3 linked regions of the Drosophila melanogaster genome follow. The protein of the gene in region 2 interacts with the protein of the main gene of each other region in a pairwise test. Each region holds a gene or a part of one and is shown on either strand. Other genes may lie near its edges.

What was found. The genes of interacting proteins can lie anywhere in the genome.
Region 1: the proteins of PGAP5 (region 2) and Npl4 interact in a two-hybrid assay, tested with the Drosophila melanogaster proteins (one large-scale study listed by BioGRID).
Region 3: the proteins of PGAP5 (region 2) and CG15043 interact in a two-hybrid assay, tested with the Drosophila melanogaster proteins (one large-scale study listed by BioGRID).

Annotation. Positions count from the first base shown.
Region 1 is NT_033777.3:25,618,572-25,627,082, forward strand, and holds the start of Npl4 (nuclear protein localization 4), read right to left. Parts: upstream 5,175-8,511; 5' UTR 5,009-5,174; coding exon 4,907-5,008; intron 4,835-4,906; coding exon 4,601-4,834; intron 4,539-4,600; coding exon 4,381-4,538; intron 4,320-4,380; coding exon 3,791-4,319; intron 3,731-3,790; coding exon 3,532-3,730; intron 3,470-3,531; coding exon 3,309-3,469; intron 3,268-3,308; exon of another isoform or gene 1,951-3,267; coding exon of another isoform or gene 1-1,950. Other genes in the region: CG5071 (uncharacterized protein), read left to right, coding at 1-1,950; Ssadh (succinic semialdehyde dehydrogenase), read right to left, coding at 6,361-7,596, 7,773-8,066. UniProt on the Drosophila melanogaster protein: May be part of a complex that binds ubiquitinated proteins and that is necessary for the export of misfolded proteins from the ER to the cytoplasm, where they are degraded by the proteasome.
Region 2 is NT_033779.5:8,196,882-8,204,657, forward strand, and holds PGAP5 (Post-GPI attachment to proteins 5), read left to right. Parts: upstream 1-2,071; 5' UTR 2,072-2,161; coding exon 2,162-2,580; intron 2,581-2,647; coding exon 2,648-3,152; intron 3,153-3,220; coding exon 3,221-3,399; coding exon of another isoform or gene 3,400-3,400; exon of another isoform or gene 3,401-3,464; coding exon 3,465-3,474; 3' UTR 3,475-3,771; downstream 3,772-7,776. Other genes in the region: CG8460 (uncharacterized protein), read left to right, coding at 412-684, 751-940, 998-1,201, 1,268-1,667, 1,732-1,873; SLC5A11 (Sodium/solute co-transporter-like 5A11), read right to left, coding at 4,004-4,079, 4,136-4,827, 4,881-5,294, 5,351-5,418, 5,477-5,528, 5,587-5,652, 6,206-6,365, 6,433-6,588 and 1 more. UniProt on the Drosophila melanogaster protein: Metallophosphoesterase.
Region 3 is NC_004354.4:18,490,519-18,497,168, forward strand, and holds CG15043 (uncharacterized protein), read right to left. Parts: upstream 3,651-6,650; 5' UTR 3,565-3,650; coding exon 3,330-3,564; intron 3,257-3,329; coding exon 3,000-3,256; 3' UTR 2,675-2,999; downstream 1-2,674. Other genes in the region: CG15044 (uncharacterized protein), read right to left, coding at 891-1,373; Pgant7 (polypeptide N-Acetylgalactosaminyltransferase 7), read right to left, coding at 5,891-6,650.

The DNA.
Region 1 (8,511 bases), on a different chromosome or scaffold from region 2:
CAGGAGCTCGCCTGCCGGCACAGCTTCTGCAAGAAGTGCGTGCAAAGAAACACCGACCACAACTCGTCCGAGTGTATTTGCAATTTGTGCGGATATCGCACGCAGCTGGATGGCCAGCAGCTACCGCAATCCGTAACCATCATGTATCTGCTCCGTGAGCTGCCAGCTTTGATTCTGGGCAGAGCCATGTTGGATTTTTCGTACAAAAGGAGCAGCACTATTGAAATGTCTATTGAAGAAGCACCCAGCAGCCCATCGAAAAACTGGGTGGAAGACATCAACGTGGAGAGCTTTCTGGCCACCAGTGCGGAGCACTGTTTCATCCATGCCATGCCGAACTCCACGTGGTGTCACAATTGCCAACGTCTGCTGTGCCGTGCCTGCTCGGATGTCCCATTGCACCAGGACCATATCCTGGTGCGCCAGGTTGATTACCATGACCTTATCAGCCAACTGCTCAACTCCGAGTTGAGGAAGATCAAGAGCACGGCTGTCCATGCCAAAGAGTTGGCCACCCACGAAATGGATCTACTACGCGAGCTGTGCGAGGCGTGCTACCGCGTTCAGTTGCATGTGAAGCGTGAGATGCTGGAACACCATTCTAGCATGGTTGCGGCCTCGATGATCGGTTGGCATCGACTAGCCGAGCGGGATCTGCATCGAGTCGGTAGACTTACTGGAGCAAAAATGCTGCAGGTGCTCGCCCACTTGGCCACACAGCGGCAGCGATACGAGCGCCAGTTGGACCAGGTGCACTTTCAATGTCGAATGCAAGCCGCAATTCAGGAGAACGGGATGCAGGTCCTGGACTTTGAGACTCTGAATAACAGGATCGCACGGCTACGCAGTCATCGTCGGCCCGGTGCTATTCCCGCCAATGTGGGGCCACCGCAGGCGCTCATCCTCACCAACTACTGTGTGTACGCCTACTGGTGCGAGATGCAGCGCGAAATGATTCCTCCACGCCACAGGAATCTGACACCGGATCCAGAATTACTGCCGGAACCGCGGCGAGCTGTGGTGCCTCCGCATTTCAATAATAGCCTGCGGGAGGTGGAACTTCTGGATTATGTGCAGCAGATCGAACTCGAGCAGTTTCGAACGCTCAGTCAACCTCCGTATGATGGTTCACACGAATCCTCCTCGTCGCCGAACAGCAGCAGCAGTACAAACAGCCAAAGCAATTATATTGCTCTAGACACGGAATATGGACTTCGAGAATTGGTGCGCCAGTTGCAACAGCAGCCGCAGCAAGTGCAACAGGAACAGCAGCAGCAGCAGCAGCAAGTACACCAGCTTACCCACTCAATTTACCAGCCAGATGCGATTCTCGTCAACTCGGTGGAGCCGCAGCTAATTGGTCAACAAAGCCATGATCATCATCGACAGGATGGCGGTACGAGTTCATCGGTAAGCATTGTGCGTCAGCCCATCGTTCACTGTTACCCCATCTACTTTCTGGACATGGAAATAGCAGGAGAACTGGCCGGACGGGTCCTAATCGAGGTGCGATCTGATGCTGCTCCCCGGATGGCGGACAACTTTGGGGCGCTGGTGCGGCACGAGCGGGGCTATGGCTATCGTGGCTGCACTGTCTTTCAGGCCTGGGGAGGCGAGAGCATCATCACCGGCGACTTTGAATCGCAGAACGGACGCGGTGGGCACTCGGCCTTTGAGAGCAGATACTTTTTGCCAGACGAAACGGGATTGCCGGCACATCGGGGAACGGTTGGTATGCGCAGGGGACAGCGGCGACAGGACAGAAGTGGATTTGTGGGCAGCCAATTTCGGCTGGTGCTAAACGAGATGCGATCCTTCACCGCCATTTTCGGATTCATTGTCCAGGGCATTGAGCTGGTGGACCGAATTGCGGCCAGTGGCAATGCTCTAGGACGCCCGGCCCTTAGGAGCATTATCCGGAATTGTGGGGAATATCATTTAAACCAATAATAAGTCCGACTGATCCATTAGCTAATCCTACTTATCGAACAGTATCAAACCGAAAGCTCCTAAACACTTTGAATGTACAACACCACCCAATATCTATTTTATTCTTGGAATGCAAATCTTGGTATAAATTTTGTAAAAATAAACGATCAATGTAAGACACTTGAAACTCGACATTTTCAGCAACAGAAGCCAATTTTTTTAACAAAGAAAGAAAGAATTTTTATAAACAATTTACAACTTATTGAAACGTTTTGGATGCTATTTTAAATAAAAAAAAGACTATCAATGATCTATAAACATTTCAGATTCATGGACAAGGTGGAAATTGTAACAGACCTTGAGTATTTAAATAAGTTTAGCTTAAGGAAAACGACACTAAATGTGCGTTGGAGCGCTACGACGATACCTGGATATAGTAAATTAGCTACAATAAAAACTTAAAAATTTGAAACCACGAGTAAGGTGAAATCCAAATACATAGCTGACATGTAATTAATGTCAATTCAAGTTAATAATTAATATGAAATAAACCTATTAGCAATAAGTAAATAAACGAGATAGTTTTCGGTGTCTAAATATGCATTTGATGTGATCATAACTAAGGCTATGTTTGTGATGGATGAAATAATGAACGCCAAGAATAGCCATCCATAAAAATAAGGGAATCAAGTAATAATATGACCTTAGCGATGTAAAGGAAGGCAAAGAATCTTTTTAGGAACAAATCGAAATCAATTTTACGAAATTTGTAGACTTATTATACTTTAAATTATTTTAAGTAATCAATCAATCAACGATTAACTTCAATTGAAAAGAAAAAAATCAAATCGAAATCTTATATTTTCCAAAATAATAAAAACGCGTATCACAATTAAGCATTAGATAGAACAAAACAGTTTGGCAAAATAAAAATAAATAAAAAAAAATAAGGGTAATAACTGGAAAATTGTGATTGGCTTGGCAGTTGCTCAGAAAGTTATTTTAACAATTGAATATGCGCTAAATAACAACATTGTTTATGAATGTCCTAGGTATAGGAAAAATAAAATGAACGTTTGAAGGAGAACCCAGAGCAATGATGAGAAGTACAAACCGAGAAGGATAAGGAAAATAATGAAGTTGTTCCATAAATAAATCAACGTAATCCAAGATAATGTAAGCCTCTAGATGTCAAATGTTTGAATTGGCGTTGCTCTTGACACCCAAATTTTCTTTGCATGTATCAAACTGAAAAACCAAATCCCATTCGTATTGATGTCTAAATATGGAAGTTGTTTGTGTAAATGTGTGAACGTAATTCAATAAAGGTTGCCCGATAACTGATTTTGCTTGAATGGGGGGGAGACTTTCTAACTTACCTTATAGAAAACGTCGGGAACATACTGCTTGTCCGTGGATTCACGCACGTAGCCCAGCTCGGGCGCATCCTTAGTGGGTATCAGACAATTATCGCGCACCAGAGCCATGCACTGAGCCGAAACCGCATAGCCTTCCATGTGCACTTGTTTGGTTTTATCTCCTGTAATGTTAAAAACTATTTTGGTACTAGTTCATTAAGCAGTATTAAATCGTGAATCTTACCTGTTACACAAATGGTCACAAACTTAGAGCCGAAGACGCCATTGGAGGCATATTTACACGGATTTGGATGTCGATTCTGCAGCTCGCCAGCTGTGATGCACTCCTGGGCCGTAATAAAGTGCGACTCGATGCCACGGATCTGTTTGACAGTGCCGATACTCGCATCGTCCGTGATGAGATCAGTGAAAATCCAACCAATCTATAAATGTCACAAAAGTCAATACTAATGCTACATAGCTACTGTCTATAACTAACTAACCTTCTTCAGTCCCAGCGCACTGGCTACGGCATCCACATCGTCGGCGAACTCATCCGGCTGAATATTGATCGAATCCCTGGTAGACTCTTGTGGCGGCTCATAAATGGCAGCCACCTTGGCCCGAATGCCCAACGGAACATCAGTGTGCTGCTCGTACGTCCCATACAGATATCCCATGCGCTGGTGTCCTGTGGTGCGCCAGTAGTTGAGGAAGCGCTCCACGATCTTAGTGTTCTCGAACATGACGTTGTCCACGTGGCGATATGTCTGACGATTCAGCGTAATGGCCGACGGCTGGCACTTGGAGCAGATGCCCTTGGGCCATGGTGGATGCTCGCGACATCCCGGCTTGATGCGGCAATTGATGTCGTCGAAGACAAAGTACTTGCCCTGATCCATGCCGGATGTCTGCTTTCGTATGTACGAGTGGAAGGACAAGTGCTTGATATTGTGCTCCTTCAGATAGGACTCATCATAGGGCTCCAGTGCGGAGCAGTGAACGCAACGGCCGTTGGCATTGTGGTGGCACCTACAAAAAGTTATAGGTTGATCAGTTTAATTTTACAATTAATTGTATAATCAAGGCCTACAGCTTGCTATCACGTTCGCGCTTAATGGTGCCATCAGCCTTGCTCAGAGCCTGGTCCACGTCATCTTCGATCACATTGAAGGATGGACGAGCGCTGTTTGGATTGCTAATGGTGCTAGTCTTGAACGCCTGACTGTCCAGGACAGTGGTGCTAGTGCGCTGAGAAGTGGTGAAAAATGCAGGTTAGTCCCCGATCGTTCTGCTCTATATGATCAACTTACGCGCGATGATGTGCCAGCCATCTGTTTTAAGTAGACCATGTCGCCATGCCTCAAGGAAGTCCCCACCAGCTGGGAGCCACTTGCCTGCAGCTCTGTGAGGAAGTTGCGCTCCTTGAAGAGACCAAATCCATCCACCTTCAGGGCATTCTGAACGCTGTCGTACAGATGCTTTAGATTTGACTTGGGCGAGATCTCGATGCGTTTGATGCCCTCCGCCGACTGAACGCGAATTAGCTGGAATTAACAAATGAATAACAGATTCTAATTAGTACTAGGACAGGTGAATTTGGCAATTTCTGATCCAACCGATTGTTTACATAACACAAACAGACGATGGCGCACAAAGGCGTAGGCGAAATTGCGCTTCTTGTAGATGAATTGCTCGAGCAGCAGTGGTGCACAGGCCATTTTCTGGACTTTCTGGACGGGTCACTGGGTGATGGGCGGTTGGGTGGGCTCTTGTGTGGGCGGTGGTGGGTGGTAGATTGGGTAAGGGGGATTGTCAAGTGTAGCTATTAGCTACCAAAGCCTGTAGGGCTTTTTGCTTAGTGTTTCGAACTGTACGTCATGAAGGCGCGAACTTGACTGCGGAAATTTATCTGGCATCGCAATTAAAAACAAATGCAATTCGTTGCCAAAATGAGTGCATAGTTAAAAAGAGAACTAATGCCTGTATATGTAAATTCGGATCTGTAATTGTATGAGCTTTAAATAAAAAATAAAACAGCATTTTGAAAGACAAGCTGCATGCAGTTTTAAAACAAAAAAATTATATTAAATTTGTATTTAAAATTTTAAGTTGTGCTATTTACTGGTATGTGCAGTTTTCTTATTTTACAAAACATATATTTCAAAAATTAATTTTACGCAGAGACATTTTTCTGAGTGTAGCACCCTATCAACCAGAAATTGCTTTATTAGACAGAAATATCCTCAAATGCATTTCCCCCAGGCGGATTGCAGCCAACAATTGTTAATAATTTATTTGGTTTTTGGATCGGTTTTTGGTCTCAAAACCCCCGCACACTCCCCTCAGTCCTACTGCCGCCTAGACTGCACTCTTTCAGTGGAAAATCTACAAGTCATGGTACCATTCAATTTCACCGCCAGCACCTTTGGCCGCATTTCGGGACTTGCAGTGGATTTGCACTGCCGGGAGTGCTTCCAAATGGGTTCATTATGCATTATATGCTTCGCTTTTGCCGGCTGAAATGCACTTTAAATATATTTTCCATACATTTAGGCAACAACAACAAACGCCAGCGAACTGGAAAACCGACATTGTTTGCCGGCTTTTTTGGTGGGTAGCTATAGGGAAACACTTGACCAATTTCACTGCACACACTTCACCAATAAGACATTCGCTTAGTTTCCACCCTAAATGCACTTTTTAATTTTTTATCAACAATTTACTTACAATTTTGTCATTTGGCATTGTAATTTTGTCTCTGTCTCTGTCGCACAGCTGTGGGGATGGCGATAGTCTGCCCAGAGGTGGAGAAAAATCGATTACTCCCGGATATCGATGTCTCTATGATCGGTTTCTTGTCAATTTAAAGCGATTGTTAACCAATCCCAATTAATCGAAAGGTGAGGCGGGCTATTTTAAAAAAGGGAAATTATCTATTAGCTTCAGGTAGACTTTGTGCACATTTATTAATATAGCGGCGTGTTATTCTACAATTAGACAACAATAAACCAATCGCATTCTAGTGGAAGACAGCGTATGAAAGCAGTGGGGGTGATCCCTCCATCGGACTTCAGTCGTACTTGAGGTTGCCCATGCAAATGTACTTGATGTCCACATAGTCGTCGATACCGTGTTTGGAACCCTCCCGTCCGACACCGGACTCCTTGACGCCACCAAACGGAGCCTCTGCTGCGGAGATGATGCCTTCGTTGACGCCGACCATGCCAACCTCCAGTCGCTTGGCCACCCGGAACACCTGCTGCAGATTCTCGCTGTAGAAGTAACCGGCCAGGCCTCTCCTGGTGTCGTTTGCCTTCTTTACCGCTTCTTCTTCGTCTCGGAACCGTATGATGGAGACCACTGGACCAAAGACCTCCTCCGAGTAGAGTTGCGCCGAGGGTGGCACATCTGTGACAATTGTGGGTGCGTAGAAAAGGGATCCCTTGTCGGGCAACGGCTGTCCGCCCAGAATAATGTTCGCCTTCTTCGACCTGGCGTCCTCCACAAAGCCACTGACTTTGTTGAACTGCATCTCGTTGATCAGTGGTCCGATTTGCACATCGCAACCCTGACCATCTCCGATCTTCAAAGCTTCCACGCGTTTTTTCAGCTGCCCAACAAACTTATCGTAGACGCTGTCCTGGACAAAGAATCTATTGGCGGAGACGCAGGTCTGTCCGCAATTCCTAAACTTCGAGGCCATGGCGCCATCCACTGCTTTTTCAATGTCCGCCGAATCGAAGACAATGAACGGAGCATTGCCGCCGAGCTCGAGACAAATCCTTTTGATGCCATCAGCAGAGTTCCGGAACAGCAGTTTGCCCACCTCAGTGGAGCCCGTGAAGGATATACCCCTAACATCGGGACTCTTGCAGAAGAGATCGCCAATGGGAGCCGCTTTGTTTGTGGTGACCACATTTATCACACCCTTTGGAATGCCAGCGTCCACTGCCAATTTGGCCACAGCCAGGGCAGTAAGAGGAGTGTCTTCTGAAGGTTTCACCACGACCGTACATCCTGCGGCCAGGGCGGCTCCTGCTTTCCTCGTAATCATAGCCATCGGGAAGTTCCAGGGCGTAATCAGCGCCGCCACCCCAATGGGCTGCTTCATTACTATGATTTCGCGATTGGGCGATGCACTGGGCACAATTTCGCCGTAGATGCGACGGGCCTCCTCTGCAAACCACTCGACGAAGGCGTTTCCGTAGGCCACCTCCCCCTTCGACTCGTTGATCGGCTTGCCCGACTCGGCCGTCATTATCTCGGCTATCTCCTGCGAGTGCTGCTCGATCAGTTTGTGCCACTTCTGCAAGACGAGATTAGATTAGATAAGCAGAAGTAACTTGGAGACCAGAGGAAGAAATAATGACAATGACCTACAGTCGAACTTTCCAACTCTATAGTCCCATCATATTATATGATGGTCTTTATCTGTGGGGTCAACAATCAGCACCCCTGATAACGAGTGATCCCGGCACTCACCTTGAGCAGGTTGGACCGATCCTTGGCGGTCAGGGATCGCCACTCCTTGGACTCGTACGCCTGCTTAGCGGCGTCTATGGCCTTCTGGGCATCCGCCACCGTCATGTTGGGCACTTTGCCGATGACAGCACCATTGGCAGGATTCCGCACCTCGAAGGTCGCCTTTGCATTGCTGGAATCCACCCAGGCGCCATCCACCAGGGCCTTATCCTGCACCAGTGCCGAGAATCCTCGCATTCTGCAGAGGCTTAGGCTGCTTCCTGTTCGTGCGACTCCGCTGAGCTGTCGCCACATTCTGCCGGCTGCTAGAAATAAACAAACTAATTGCAATTAACAATTGGCTACTAATCGATTATTAACCGGTATGTGAGTTCGCTTGCTTTATCACCTTTTTATCACCTGCGGGGGGTTAGAGGCGTTTCTCTTATCTGCGACGTTATCGGGAAGACTCTCTGCTGTCCACAGCTGCAGTTCTAGCTTCTATTGGGCGCTTTGATTGGATTTAATTGATTTTAATTTTTTACGCTCCGAACCAGCAGAGCCTTAGAAACTGCCAACTCGTTTTTTTACTATCAACAGCAGATGTTCGCGCTCTTAGGAGCTGCCAACTGGCAGTCGCGAGTGAACCGCGAAAAATGTACCATTTGAAAAAAAAGAACTGCTTGATAACATTTACTTTTTAATTTACTCGCAGCGGATATTAAAAACATATTTTCAGCTTTTAAAAATATAAAATATT
Region 2 (7,776 bases):
AGTCAAACGCTTCTAACAGCTGAGCAGCTTTTCATTGCGATCTGGCAATGCTCTAAGCTAAAATCGATTGTTGAAGACCAATCGTTAAAGGCAGAGCGGGTGATTTAAATCGGATGCGCAATTTAAGAAACATATTAAGTTCTCGTTATTGTTTGAAGTTGAAATAATTCGGTGATATAATTTTAAGCTTATAAATAATAAAATAAAATATATCAAATATAATGTTAAGTCAAGTCCAAGTAATAATTTCTGAAGCACACTGCTATTTACCAATTTAGGGTGACCATTTAGAGTGTCTGATGCCGTTTGCCGTTTAGTGTACGCTATGGTCACTTTGCTGCCGGCTTTTTTTTTGTATGCGATTTGTTTTTGTGCGATTTATGCTGTGGTCCTGATTGTCCTTCTGTCGAAATGCGTGCGCCTGATGCGCTCCTGCTCCGCGTCGCTCTCCTGCTTCTACTGCTGACCACCGTCCGCGGAACCCTCGCCCCGGACAGCCACAAATCGAAGAGCAAGACCAAGGAGAGTGCTCTGCGTGGCGGTCCGCAAGACCAAGATGTTTTCGATCTGGGCTTGGTTAGTCCCGAGCCCCTGGCCAAGGATATCGTGAGCAATCATCGCGGGTACTTCAAGGAGACGGGATTGCGACGCTTCAATGGCACCACCTTGGGCTATGTGACTCCAGTAAGCAGAGGACGTACTCCCACATTTTGTGCATGTGTATTAATCTATTGTTTGCTTTGCTTGTAGTGGAACTCGCATGGCTATGATGTGGCTAAGATATTTGCCAAGAAGTTCGACATTATCTCGCCGGTTTGGCTGCAGATTGTTAAGCAGGGAGATCGTTATGCCGTAGCCGGAACCCATGACATCGATGCGGGTTGGCTAACCGATGTCCGGAGAAAGGGTAAACAGGTGCACAATCAGCGAACGGTTAAAGGTATGAGAAAATGATACCCGCTGGCGTTAGTCTAAACTCACTTTCCTTGGATTTCAGTGTTTCCCCGTTTTATATTCGATCACTTCACTGATCGGGACATTAAGCTCTTGCTTAGCGACGCCCAGGAGAGGACGAAAGTCAACGACGTGCTGATCAAGTGCTGCAAGGATAATGGCTTCGATGGACTCGTCCTGGAGGTGTGGTCCCAGCTAGCTGGACGCATAGATGACAAAATTCTGTACACACTGGTTTTGCAAATGGGTGAGCTTAATGCGTTGTAACCCTTTGTTTGTTATTAATAATTTAAATTTCTTTTACGTCACTTAGCCAAAGAACTACAAAAGCAACAGCTGCGACTCATTTTGGTCATTCCTCCATTCCGCAAGGAAACAGGCCACCTTTTTGGAGAAAAGCACATGGACAAGCTGTTCAAGCACATATACGCCTTCTCTCTGATGACTTACGACTTCTCCAGCGTGCAGCGTCCCGGAGCAAATGCACCATTATATTTCGTCCGTAAGGCTGTGGAGACAATAGCTCCAGAAGGTTGCGCTGATATGACGGCTAAGAGGGCTAAAATTCTGTTGGGACTGAATATGTACGGGAATGATTACACGCCCGATGGAGGTGGACCCATCACCTTCTCCCAGTACTTGGATCTAGTCAGGCATGTGAAGAAGCACCTAACTTACGATGAGCGGGATGTGGAAAATTTCTTTGAAATCAAGTGAGTTTTCTACTGCAGCGTATGCAGAGTGTAAGGCGAAGATGATGAATATCATTACTTTCAGAAACGATGACGGTCGCCACATTGTCTTTTATCCCACTCTCTATTCCATAAACGAGCGAATAAAGCTCGCCCAGGAACTGGGCACTGGCATTTCAATCTGGGAACTTGGCCAAGGCCTAAACTATTTTTACGATCTCTTCTAGTTAGCCTGTAAGCAGCATGCAATGCACAATACCTATTCCAAATAAAGGAAATTATATATAAGCCATAATGCTTCATAATTTTTCCAATTTACAATTTTAGTAACCAACTTTGAAATGAGGCGCCAATTTGTTAGTCAACCGACAGCCGCTTGACAGCACTGTTTAATTTATCGAATATTTTAAATTTATATCGGGCCGTTTACTCGTTTAAAACGATACTATCGCTGATGGTTTTTCAGCTCTAGAATAAATTTGTTATTATTTTTTTAGCCGGTGAGAAATCCTGAAATGCGCTTTCTTTATGCCTGCTTTGTGATCGTGCTGTGCGCCCTGATCTTCTGCGAATATGTGGCGGACTTTGTGGTGCTGCAAAAGTGCAAGTGGCCGGAGATAAAGCGAAAGAAGTATGTGGACGATCCGCTTAGGGCAATGATTCTAGCGGATCCGCATCTGCTGGGACCGCATCGTGGTCACTGGCTGGACAAGCTCTACCGGGAGTGGCACATGACGCGGGCCTTTCAGGCGGCATCACGTCTGTTCCAGCCCGACGTGGTCTTCGTCTTGGGCGATTTGTTCGACGAGGGCGACATGGTCAGCGACAAGCAGTTCCAGGAATATGTGTGGCGCTACCTGAAGATGTTCCACCTACCACCGGGAATTCCGCTCATCAGTGTCGCGGGAAATCATGACGTGGGCTTCCATTACAAGTAAGTCAATAAGAGACTATGTGTATTCCCTGATATTTGTTAAACCGCGCTCTTGTGTGTTTTCCAGAATGCATCCCTTCTTTATGTCGCGTTTTGAGAGTTATCTGAACAACTCCTCGGTCAATTTGTACACCATTAAACAAATCCATTTTGTGGTGATAAATTCGATGGCTATGGAAGGTGATGGTTGCATGTTTTGCACCCAGGCCGAGGATCAGTTGAAAAACATTTCGAGGACTTTGTACTGCATGAAGTATCCACTAGAGGCGGAGTGCGCTCGCACCAGGCGGCACCCGTACAGCCAGCCAATTCTATTGCAGCACTTTCCCACCTACCGCATTTCGGATACCATGTGCGAGGAGCACGATGCTCCGTACATCGAGGCGTTCCGAGAGCGGTTTCATGTGCTCTCCAAGGATGCCACGGATATGCTGGGAGAGCTGCTTAAGCCAAGGCTGGCATTCGCCGGTCATTCACATCACTTCTGTCACAGTGTAAATCGACTGGGCATCGATGAGTACACGGTGGCCTCATTCAGCTGGCGAAACAAAGTTAATCCCAGCTTTATGCTGGTGAGTATTATATTTGCTCTTACGATTGTTAGCCCTTCGAACTTGTACTAACATGCCATAACTTTTAGGCCACTATAACCCCCGATGACTATGTGGTTTCCAAGTGCAAAATGCTGCCACAGCAGTTTGTCTTCAATAGCTATCTGAGTGCTGGCATTCTTTGCCTAATTGTCATCGGGTTCCAGCTACGAAAGTGCATCCAAAGCAGAAGACAGTCGTCGGCTGTAGATCATCGGAAGGTTAATTAGTATGTATAAGCATGCCTATACAAGGCATATCCTCTTTTGTGATTTACGCCTGATTGGGGCTTAGTTTAGACTAGATACGCCAGATTCCAGACTCAGATCCCAGATCCAGATCCAGACAGAGGTCATATCATTCCTGCTGCTTTGCAACCGCTTAACTATATTCTAGGTGTACAAAATTCGGATAGTATGTATGATCTATTTATTGAATTTATCACAGACATTATGCTTGTAAAGTCAAACGGAATACATAATGAGACACAGTCTGCTGACTACAAATCGAAAATGCCAAAAAAATAATGCTTGAACAAAGGCTGGAAAGTAAAGAACGGATACAAACAGAACAATTAAATAAAGCTATATTATAATACATTTACTATATAACGTTAATGATTGTGCACTCTGTATTCTGAGATGCAGATTCATAGGTTCCTGTACTTCGGTTTATGTCTTCCAATATCTGGATCACATTGTACTAGACTAGGCTATCTATAAGGTAACTACCACAAAGCAACTACAACTACAAACTATGCTAACAAAACAGGGTGTGGAATTCAATGCCATCAATTCCATTAGTTTGGCACAGGAAGTTCTGGTTCGTCTATTTTAGGATACGTTTAAGAGGTTTTTGTGCGCCTGCGCATGGAGATTGCGACCACTAAAGCATTCTTTTGGAAGGAATCTAGAAGAAAAAATGGGTTTAATAACAGAGGTTAAACATGTGGTTACAAAAATTACCTGTGAATCACTGGTGATATTAGATCCGGATCTAGTGTTTTCATATTTGTGGGTTTGGTCACAAGGGAGACTAGTGCACCTACCACAATGACTGTGGCCACACCAATGGGATTTATCCAGTGGTAGGACAGTCGGTACAGTGGAAAAACTTGCTCCTCATCTACCCATATATTTTCCCGAAGCGTTACATTGCCCACACATCCCTCCACGGATACGGGAAGCTTTTGAGAATTCAATTCACCCGCTGCGATGGTAAACTGCGTTCCAAAGGATATCCACCCGGCGAGCAGAGCACTTGCAATTCCGCCCACAGCAGTGCCTACAGTATTGGCCCAGGGAACGAGCATTCCCAGGGTAAACAGGCCAAAAGTGGTTCCAGCTGCGATGGCCGTCATTGAAGTGCAAATGCTCAGGATTCCACTCAGTTGTTCCAGGACAAATACCAGTGATAGGGCCACAAAGCCAAGAACTATAACAGTTGACTTTACCAGAATGGTGGAGGCTCTTTCACTTGGTTGCATCTTGAAGCAGCCGCGAACTATATCCTCCAGGATTACCAAGGACGTTGAGTTCAGAACCACAGAAAGGGAGCTCAAGGCAGCTCCAAATATGCCGGCTATAAACAAACCAGACATACCATAGATATGACCCACACTCTGAACGACAAAGAGCGGCAGTAGCTGATCGTCGTGCTGCAAGGAAATAAACGTAAGTAAAGTTCAAAAACAATTTATTATTTACTCACTGTTATTAGTCCCGCACTCAGAGGATCACAATCTTTGTACATCTCATAGATTAGCAGTCCCACATAACAACAAACAGAGACGAAGGCAGCCACGCCAATTGTAAAAATGGCCATGGAAGCACGAGCCTTCTTGAGCGATGGAAGAGACATGTATCGCTGGACCATGGTCTGGTTGACGGCATTGAATGAGGTCCAGTAGGAGAATCCCCCGATTAGGACGCTCCAAACAGTGTGCCTTACATAAGGCGATGGGTTTGTATTGTTAAAGATCAATCGGCCACCTTTGGCAGCATCATCGAAAAGGACATTCAAGCCATTTGCATAGACAGTGGCCAAAATAGCCACAGCAAGAACGGAAAGGAACATGACCAGCACCTGCCAAGCATCTGTGTGGACCACTGCTTTGATTCCTCCCTGAAAATAGGCGCCATTAGTATAAAAACATACGTATGAAACTCTCTAAAACTTACGACAAAGGTGTAGAAAACACACACGACCACAATTACCACTGCAATCACATGGAGATTAATGCCCGATACTGCAAGATTATCGAAAGATTAAAGTTGTGTTTCAAACAATTAACAAATGCGGCTTACCCTGATTCAGAGCTATAGCTGGTACATACACAATGAAAGGCAGAAACAGAATCTAAAATTGGATCGACAATTATTACAACATTGCAGTCCAAATATTATCTTTGACTTACCTCATCCAGAATAAACATAAAGGATGCAATACTTCGTACGACCGAATGAAAGCGCATCTCCAAGTACTGAAAGCAATATTATATTTCATAATTCAAATGACTTGCGTTTAGGATTCGAAAACTAACGTCATAAAGACCGAAAACGAAAACTAATTGCTCGACACAATTGTCAAGTGGCAGAAAACCACATTGCAATTAATCATATCGAACCGCTGGAACCCAGAAAAAAGTCGCAACAAGTGGGCGAGTGCAAAGTCCAAGAAATTCCACTTGAGGGGAGGGTGGTCTCCGATTCCCAGTTAATTAAAGTGTTCACTACGTCCTCCGTTCATTGATTGGACAAAAGTGACGGAGCGAAAGGGGGAAGACGGAAACATCTTAGAAAGTTTGTCATTCTTATCAGCAACCACTACAGATGAACTTGTCTATCTTTATTTTAACTAACTCGTCATTGAAAGAAATGGTGAGTATTTTATAGCTAAATTAATATTTCCGTTAAAACCCAATTTACATTTTTGGTTGCGTTCTGGACGTTATTACTTTTACTGTTAGCATAAGCTTATTGACCCATTAGATTGTAAATGTATAAATCAGTTTATAGAATTTACGAGTATCGTACCTCATAGGAAGAGCCTACTTGAAGAGCCGAGAACACTGGTATGTAGACGTAGGAGACGGCAATACCTTGGAGCATTATTGCTATGGCTATAAACCAATATTGCGTGCCATAATTGTAGATCTCAGAGGTTGTGCCCAGTATGGTAACGCCCGATATATAGCTGGAAATAAAAGGGAACAGATTGTACAGGCATATTTGGAGGTGCGGGATCGCATCGCCAACTCTACCTGGCTATCAGGCTCATGGCAACGGGGAAAACTTTCAGATTGCGTGACCCTAGCAGATACTCGCTCATCTTCTCCGATCCGAAATCGTGTTTCCGCCTTTTTGGCGTGGTCGTCGGCAGAGTGGGTTCCGCCTCCTCGAGCTTCACCTTGCTCTTCCTGTAATTACAACAATTGTTTGGCAATATTCCGAGGATTTGTTTAAAGGTCACTCACTTGATGCACCCGAAATAGATGCCCGTGCTGGTGGATAATACGATCATGCCCAGGAAAACGGCATAGTCCACACTGCCAAATCTGTAGTTCTCCATGCCCTTCTTTGCCACCTAAGAAAAAGAGTTAATTTTGGGTCAGTTTATGATCTTTATATGATTTAGTTTAAAGTTTGTTGTGATTCTCCTTGGCAGTGACAATCTCTATCAGGTGGTTTTAAAGTTCAGAAACTTAATTTGTTTCTTTTGTAAGAACAAGTGTGCGAAATGAACTCAGAATTCATATAATCATCGCACGTCTGGGTCTGTGGCCAATATACTTGTAATTGCTGTAGTTTGTCTTAAATGGGTCATAAAATGAAAATGAGACTCTTGCTTTTAAAGTACCAACTGTGTACGGTAAGAGATTTTCTTAAAAGCTAGGTATAAAAAGTTAGCAAATACATGCTAATTACAATTATCTCGCTTTGTTTATTTATGTATTACTCCACAATACATTTTTATCTGCTTTTAAACAGTTTGTTTCGCTCGTCCAAAATGCCATGGCTTAATCATATTATTAAAAGTGGTACTTAAGTCCCTACAACCACAATGTCCATGTCCATGTGAAGTTATGGGAACCAGGTCTTATCAGCAGGTGCCTGCTTATTATTCATCAATCTCTACGGACTAGAGACTTTAACCCTTTTCCCCATGTATTATTTATTTAACATGTTTAGCAATCGCTTCAAAATTACAAAACATTTTATTAATATGATTTCGCGTTATTATCAAATGCATATTTGGCAAGATAACTCGTTCTGGTGACTTTGACATTATCCAGCTTTGGTTTTCTAGATTATGAATCTTTTGTTATTAGCAAAATTAATATATTTTTAATACTCCCAATTTTCTTTTACTTTCTTAGTTCCTATCTAATGATGCAGACGGTGTTTAGCATAAAATACTAATTTTTCGTCTGCCATTTAGGTTCATTGACTGGATGATCAATCGGAGCCGATCGAATCTCAGAGAAGAGACTTCAACCTTTTACGCAATATCTCGAGCAGCAGCAGCATTATCGCCCTGGACTTGGACTTTGTAACCCAAATGCCGTGTCCCCCGCTCCAAAGTTCCTAAATAGCTCTTAATGTTT
Region 3 (6,650 bases), on a different chromosome or scaffold from region 2:
AAGACCCAGGCGGACACGATTTGGCATCAGGATGACGTCTTCCAAACCGGCGCAATAAGCCGGAGTGAGTAAATGCCTGTAGTTTCCGGAGAACGTGGCTCTCGATCATCGCAGAGCAGTTCCTGTTGCAGCTACTCTCCGGTTAGTTGGGCATTTCGGGACAGGCATTCCCCTCTCTGAGATCACATGACCATCAAGTTAGATCGCTTGAATGGTGACTGCAATACACACCCACCGTTTAGGGAAAACTTCAGCTTGGCAGCCCATGTTCGAATTCCGCCAAGTGCCGTGAACAGAATCAGGAATCTTCACATCATGGTGCAGCTTCTCCCAGAGTTCGCACCAAACTGATTCTCAACTTCGGAACTCCGCTTTGTTTTATCTCTGGCCCTATCCGCATCCTCCTATCTAAGCTTCTCCGGATCAGTACTCTGAAATCCCTGAGCAACAATCGAGGACACAGAACCCAAAATTTAAGATTGAATATTTTCCTCCTTTGGCAAGTAGCAAACTTTAAAAACCGGCTAACCGCTGGGAGTTAAGCTCACCTTTCATACATTTATAAATTATCTTATATATACTCATATCAAAACAATATACATAGGTAGAGAAACCACCTTTTCAGTGGCTTCATAGGATTGGAGCTGAAAAGAATCGCTTTCGTTTGGGCGCCAAGCAACAAGGAACACTTTATTTCTGCAATGGTACGGATAAGTAAAAGGATGTGCACAGTAGTCCGTTTGAAATTTGATTCTTTAATGTATGTACGTCTATGACTAATAATACTCTCGGCAGGAAGGGCAGGGACAGGGGCAGGGTCTGGAGTTCATGATCACAGTTGGGTTCCAAGCGAATCGTTTATTGTAGCTGAAAGTTCTGGGCGAGCAGTCCTAGTACCCATAGATGAACGTCTCGTAGACGAAGCTGCGCGTCTGATTGGAGGTCAGCAGAATCTCCACGTTGGTCTGACCGATGCCACCCTTGGTCAGATAGCCACCGGCATCGTCCGCCGTCATGTCCACATACACCTCGATGCTCGTCAGCGTGACCCCTGTGCTGGCTCCGGCCGGATAGCTCATGAGCACCTCCACATCCTTGGCACTGGGAAAGCTGTCGTCATCGTAGTGGTTCACAATGAGTCGGTCACCCGATGCCCGCTTTCCCGCGGTGAAGACCACGTTGCCCTTCGAGTGCTTCACCTTGTTCATCTCGTTCAGCTGTGCGTCCGGATTGAGGGTGGTGTAGCGTGTTTCGTCGGTCACGGGCGTTATGTCCGTATAGTAGAGATCGCTGGCACGGGCGTGTGGCTGTCCGGATACCGATGCCATGATGCCCAGCACCAGGCAGAGCACTAGGAACATCTTTGTTAACATCACCAGATCACCAGAAAAAAAATGGGAACGAAACAAAATAATCGGAAGAATAAGGGGTGTGTAGACTCCTTTTCTGATGCACTATTCGAACGCTTTTTGAATTTTGGCTGGTACTGGCGACCGCCTCCGGCTTTTATACATGCTTCCTTATCGGCGGTCACTACGTCGATAAGACGGCCCGACACAACTGAACGATAAGCCCCCGGGGGAATTGGCTGTGGCAATTTCGGCAAACGCCTTTATAAAACCACATCGACTAATTGGCCATAATGCTGCGATCAGTTCCTATAAATAGGACACTCGAGCTTACACCGCTGGGAAATGGATTGGATTGGATGGGCATATGATGGGATATGATGGGAACACTTGTTATTTGATTGGACGATTGGACGGACTGCGTACAAGAAGCATTAACTTAATGTGCTATCGTAGTTCAATCTATTAGTAAGCGGCTAGATAGTATGTTGTTGATTTTTATTTTTATTTTTTTTATGACAACCCACCCAATAATAAAACCAGTGATAGGAAGCACCACCTTACTGGATAAAGGAAATGTTTCCTCCGCCGTTGAATGACGATCTGTGATGGCGCGTGTTTGTTTGTTTATTTGTTCCACGACAATCTTAGCCTTGATATGCATAATGGCGCACAATGGCAAACAATCTAATAAACAAATAACCGTATCTACAAAGTCAATTGACTGTCTACGCAACATGGTCATAGATACTATATTCATACATATCTATATATACCACATCGATTCTGGACTGACGTACTTACCACCAGAGAAAGTCCCCCCAATAGTTGAATGAAGACAGATACTCAGATACTCAGATGCCCAGCTATATGATAAATACCCAATTGAATCGCAAAGTCTTGGGAGTTTGGCCATTGTTCGTTCTCATCCAAAACGTGATTCATTCGGTTGGGAATTCCTTCTAAAAATCCAGCCAGATAGGGGGAAAGTTCAATAACGTCAGTAGAACAAAAACTTCATGCGTCTCACTCTTTCGCAGACAAATCCCTGGATGATTTGCCGCCTTGGTTTCACCTTCCATGCCAAACGGAGCCGCAATCGGAATCCACAGCGGATTCAGGTGAGTGGCTGTCCCAGATTTATGGCAATGGCTATCATCGGTTTCGAGTGGAAGGCGCGTGAGCAACGAACCATTTGAAATTGATCAAGATTACCGAATACCCTGGGGATGGTGATATATGATCTCTACCATTACCGACTTTTCAGCTTTGCAATACATTCGACATTCGATCGTACACAGTGAAAGACGTACATGTATATCTTTGGATCTACACATTCTTCGTTAAAAATGAAATTTTTTAATTAGAGGAACAGGTCCGAATTTGATTTATCATATAACTCAATTAACAGAGTGACTGATAGTACAAACATATATGATCTAATTGCATATTTACGATTAAACATATGACAGCATATAAACTTTATCCCATCAATGAAATGAAATTAATTACGTAAATCTAGATAATTGCAGGTGCTGCAATCATTTTAGTCTGCCATTATACATATGTATTTAAAATTGGAGTCACATTTAAAAAAAAAAAAAAATATATATATATATAAAGCTAGCGAGGAACTAATGCAAATGCCTCCTAGTTGACTCCGTAGTAGAGAGCCTGGTATGAGAAGTTCTTGGTGTTCTTGGCCTCCAGCACGATGGAGATCAAGCTCTGGCCGATGCCTCCGGCGACCACGTAGGCGGTGCCCTCGTTGGTGTCCTGGGTGCAGAGCAGCTCCACGTAGGATACAGTGGCACCCTTGCCGTTCTCCGGATAGGTAAGCTGCAGGCTCACATCTTGCGCCCGTGGGAATTCGTAAGTGTTGGCTGTCTGGGCCACCAGTTCGTCGCCTGAAAGTATGCCAGATTGCGGGATCAGTGATTGGTGGTCGGTCAAACGTAGGGTATGCTTTGGGTAACTTACCCGGAATGCGGGCTCCCATGTTGTAGCGCACGGTCTGGCTTCCGACGCGGGCCTTGGCCGGCACAATTTCCTTCTCCATCTGCTGGATCTGCAGACCCGGGTATTGGGCGGCAAAGACATGGATATTATCCACCACTTGGATGCCGGTGGTATCCACACGTATTGTTCCAGCCGCTCCACCGGACACAAGACAGCCCAGCAGGGCGGACAACAGGATGAGGCTAAACTTGGACATCTTGGGCGTTGAATTGAAATTCGAGGTAAACGAAGTGTGTGGACTAAGGGTCTCCAGTCACGGCACGTTGAAGTCACGGAATGATGGCCAAGGTCTGGAAACCACCTATTTATACCGCCCACTGTTTTTCTTTGAATCATATTAGGTACCCCCTTATCAGGCCCATTGCCAATTTCAAGTGGCAAGTGACAATGTCTAATCCAATACCGGAAAAAGAGTCACACCGACGCTGGAACTGCTCTACTTCTCGTTCAGAAATGAAACTCTTGTATTGAATTAGAGCTTAGAGGATAAATAAATGAGTTATTGGGCTTTTTTTTATATCTAGCACCTTACAGTGCAGCGACCCCACGGAAGTGTAACCATAATAATGCTGATAAGGAAGCTTCCCACTTCACTCAATTAAATTGAACAATTTCGGTGTTATTGCGCTCGGATCCAATCATCCCCCTTTCGCCCCGCCGGCAGCTGCGATGGTGTACCAATGGGCGGAAGATAAGACCACGACTCCCACTTTGGGAGTACGACCTTTCCTATCCGACGGTAAACAAACAATCTTTTTTTTTTCCTCAGGCCCTGATTAGCCAAAAACTAACTCTAGGCGCAATCTATTGCCCCAGGATTGACACCTGCTGGCGTCCCCCTGTTGGACTTCCCTCCCCCTTCCTCGCGCTTTTAGACTTCCCTACCCGCGATGGAGGAAAGAACTTCCCGGAATCTTATCGCCCGTGGACTTCCCTGGAAGTGGGACGTCGAGTACCTTCGAGACGAATCGACCCATCATCACCACTCCCAATCAACGCGGCCATCGATAATTGTAGATTTGATTTAACAATAAGTTATGAATCATCTGCTTAAAATTGGATTTACTCGCCATTCTATGCGTACACTTAAAGAATTGGCGGGGCATTAATGGTGCACCTACGTCAAAAGAATATAAAATTAAAAGAAATTTTAAAAACTTTCGAAAAATGCGAACTTGTTCTGTGCACTTAGGTTTCAAATTGTGAGCACATCTTGAGATGGGAACTTTATTATATCTATTGATTTATAAATGGATCGACCCTTCCCCACAATATTAAACATTCAACAGCTCGGCTTACATGGTAAAGTGTTTAGAAAACGTTTTTATTTCTATGCTATTATTCAGACTTATCGATAACTCTAAAGTTACACATGAATGTAAAATATTGTTTTCAAAAATCAAACTCCCGAAGCACTTGCAACGATCAATTACGATTACGACTACCTGGTACAGAGAGCTTTACGAAAATCAAGAGTTTAAAAAAAAATAATGGGATTAGTAGTAAGAGAGCCGAGCTTCGCTGCAGACTCGATTGGTTCGGTTCGGATTGGATTGGATTGGAATTAGAATAGATTATAATGGATTAGATTGGAATGTGGCAGCGTTGAAACTAAGCTAGGATTAGTTGGACTTGCAGGAGTATAGACTAAGGTTAGTACATTCATTTTTTCAGTTGGCAATCATAAAGCAAAACAATCTGCGGCCCTGTCATCGCGTCCCGTTCCCGTTTCATAAATCCTCTATTGCACTCGACTCGCCATCCCGCCATCGCGCTATCTCGCTCTTATTCGCTTCCGCTCTATACCCATCGCATTCTCTCACTCATACGCAAGGACACACACACACGAGGTCGGCACGGAAATCCCCCAGGCTTGGATCCTCCCAAATATCAATTGAATATCTATTGTATGAGATTCGCCGATCGAAATGGGAATGGGTTCACTATCAGCTAATTGTGATGATTTTCGTACGCTCTGCACTAAGTGCATTTTGTGGAGTTTGATCTTTCGTGACAAAAGTGGAAAACAGTTTTCAAGTACGACTACTACTAACACACACACACGATTTTGAAAATTGCATTCACTTCATGCACTACAAATATGGTCTAAAAGCAATTGTTCTAATGCTTACATGGAAATACAATTGTTCGCGATTCCTTACGACATTGTTTTACAAAATCGAAATTCTTAAGCTTTAATAATTTAATAATATCCTTGTGGATTTATTTATTCGCCGAGCATTGAATGCCCTTGTCTGAATCCCGGTTGCCCAGGCGATTTCCAAGTGCCGACAGTGCATATGTACATACAGTTCGCGTCATAAATGCAGATGTGTGTGATATCTTGTGTTTTTCGTGTGTATATCAATACTTATATGCGTTACAAAACCAACAACAATTCCATTTCTCATTTTCACTAAATTGCTTTTGTCTAAAATATCGCCCCCGTTGCCCCGGCTGAAACCCTTGTGATCCATTCCTTGATCCTCCTCCTCCTGCTGCTCCTCCCAAACATGCTGGACTTACCAGCGTGGGCGTATCTCCTTGAACCACCACTGCTGGTAGCTATCGTTAACATCGCAGTGACCCAATGACAATTGCTGCGTGGCCGGATGCAGGGCCATGCATTTCTTGTGGACGCGATGCATCAGGTGCTTCGTGTGCTCGTTGTACTGCCAAGGACCGTCGACTGTCCCCAGACGACACACGGCCAGTTTGATGCCCTGCCGATCGGCCTCCACGCAGCGCTCGCCGACGCCCAACTGGCCAGCGGCATTGAGCCGAACCAGTTGATTATTTCCGCCTCCATGGCAGTATGTGAGGCCCATGATGGCCGGCGGCTGGTGGCCCATCGAGTCCAGGCATCCGTCGGAGGCCACCGAGCGCAGCTCGCCCCAGTGCAGGTTGGCCGGCAGACCCGGGAACTTGTCGTACACATCGTAGGCGATGTGGTCCATGAACCACTGGAAGCTCTTGCAGTTCAGTCGCTTCTTCAGCGCCAGTTGCTCGCTAATGTCGCCCATGTCCAGGTAGCGGGCAAGCGGCTCGCGCGTATAGAAGTACTCCTTGTGCGTGTCGTCGAACCACGTCTCGATGACGCGCTTGTAGTTGATCGTGATCAATGGACCCTTCTTCTTGCTAGCCAGTTTGCCGAAATTGTAGGGCATAAAGCCGCGATAGACGTGACCCACGCGAGAGCATGGCACCCACTCGATGCTGCCGCCACACTGCCAGATCTTGAAGCTCAATTCGAAGTTCTCGCCGCCCCAGACCAGCAGACCC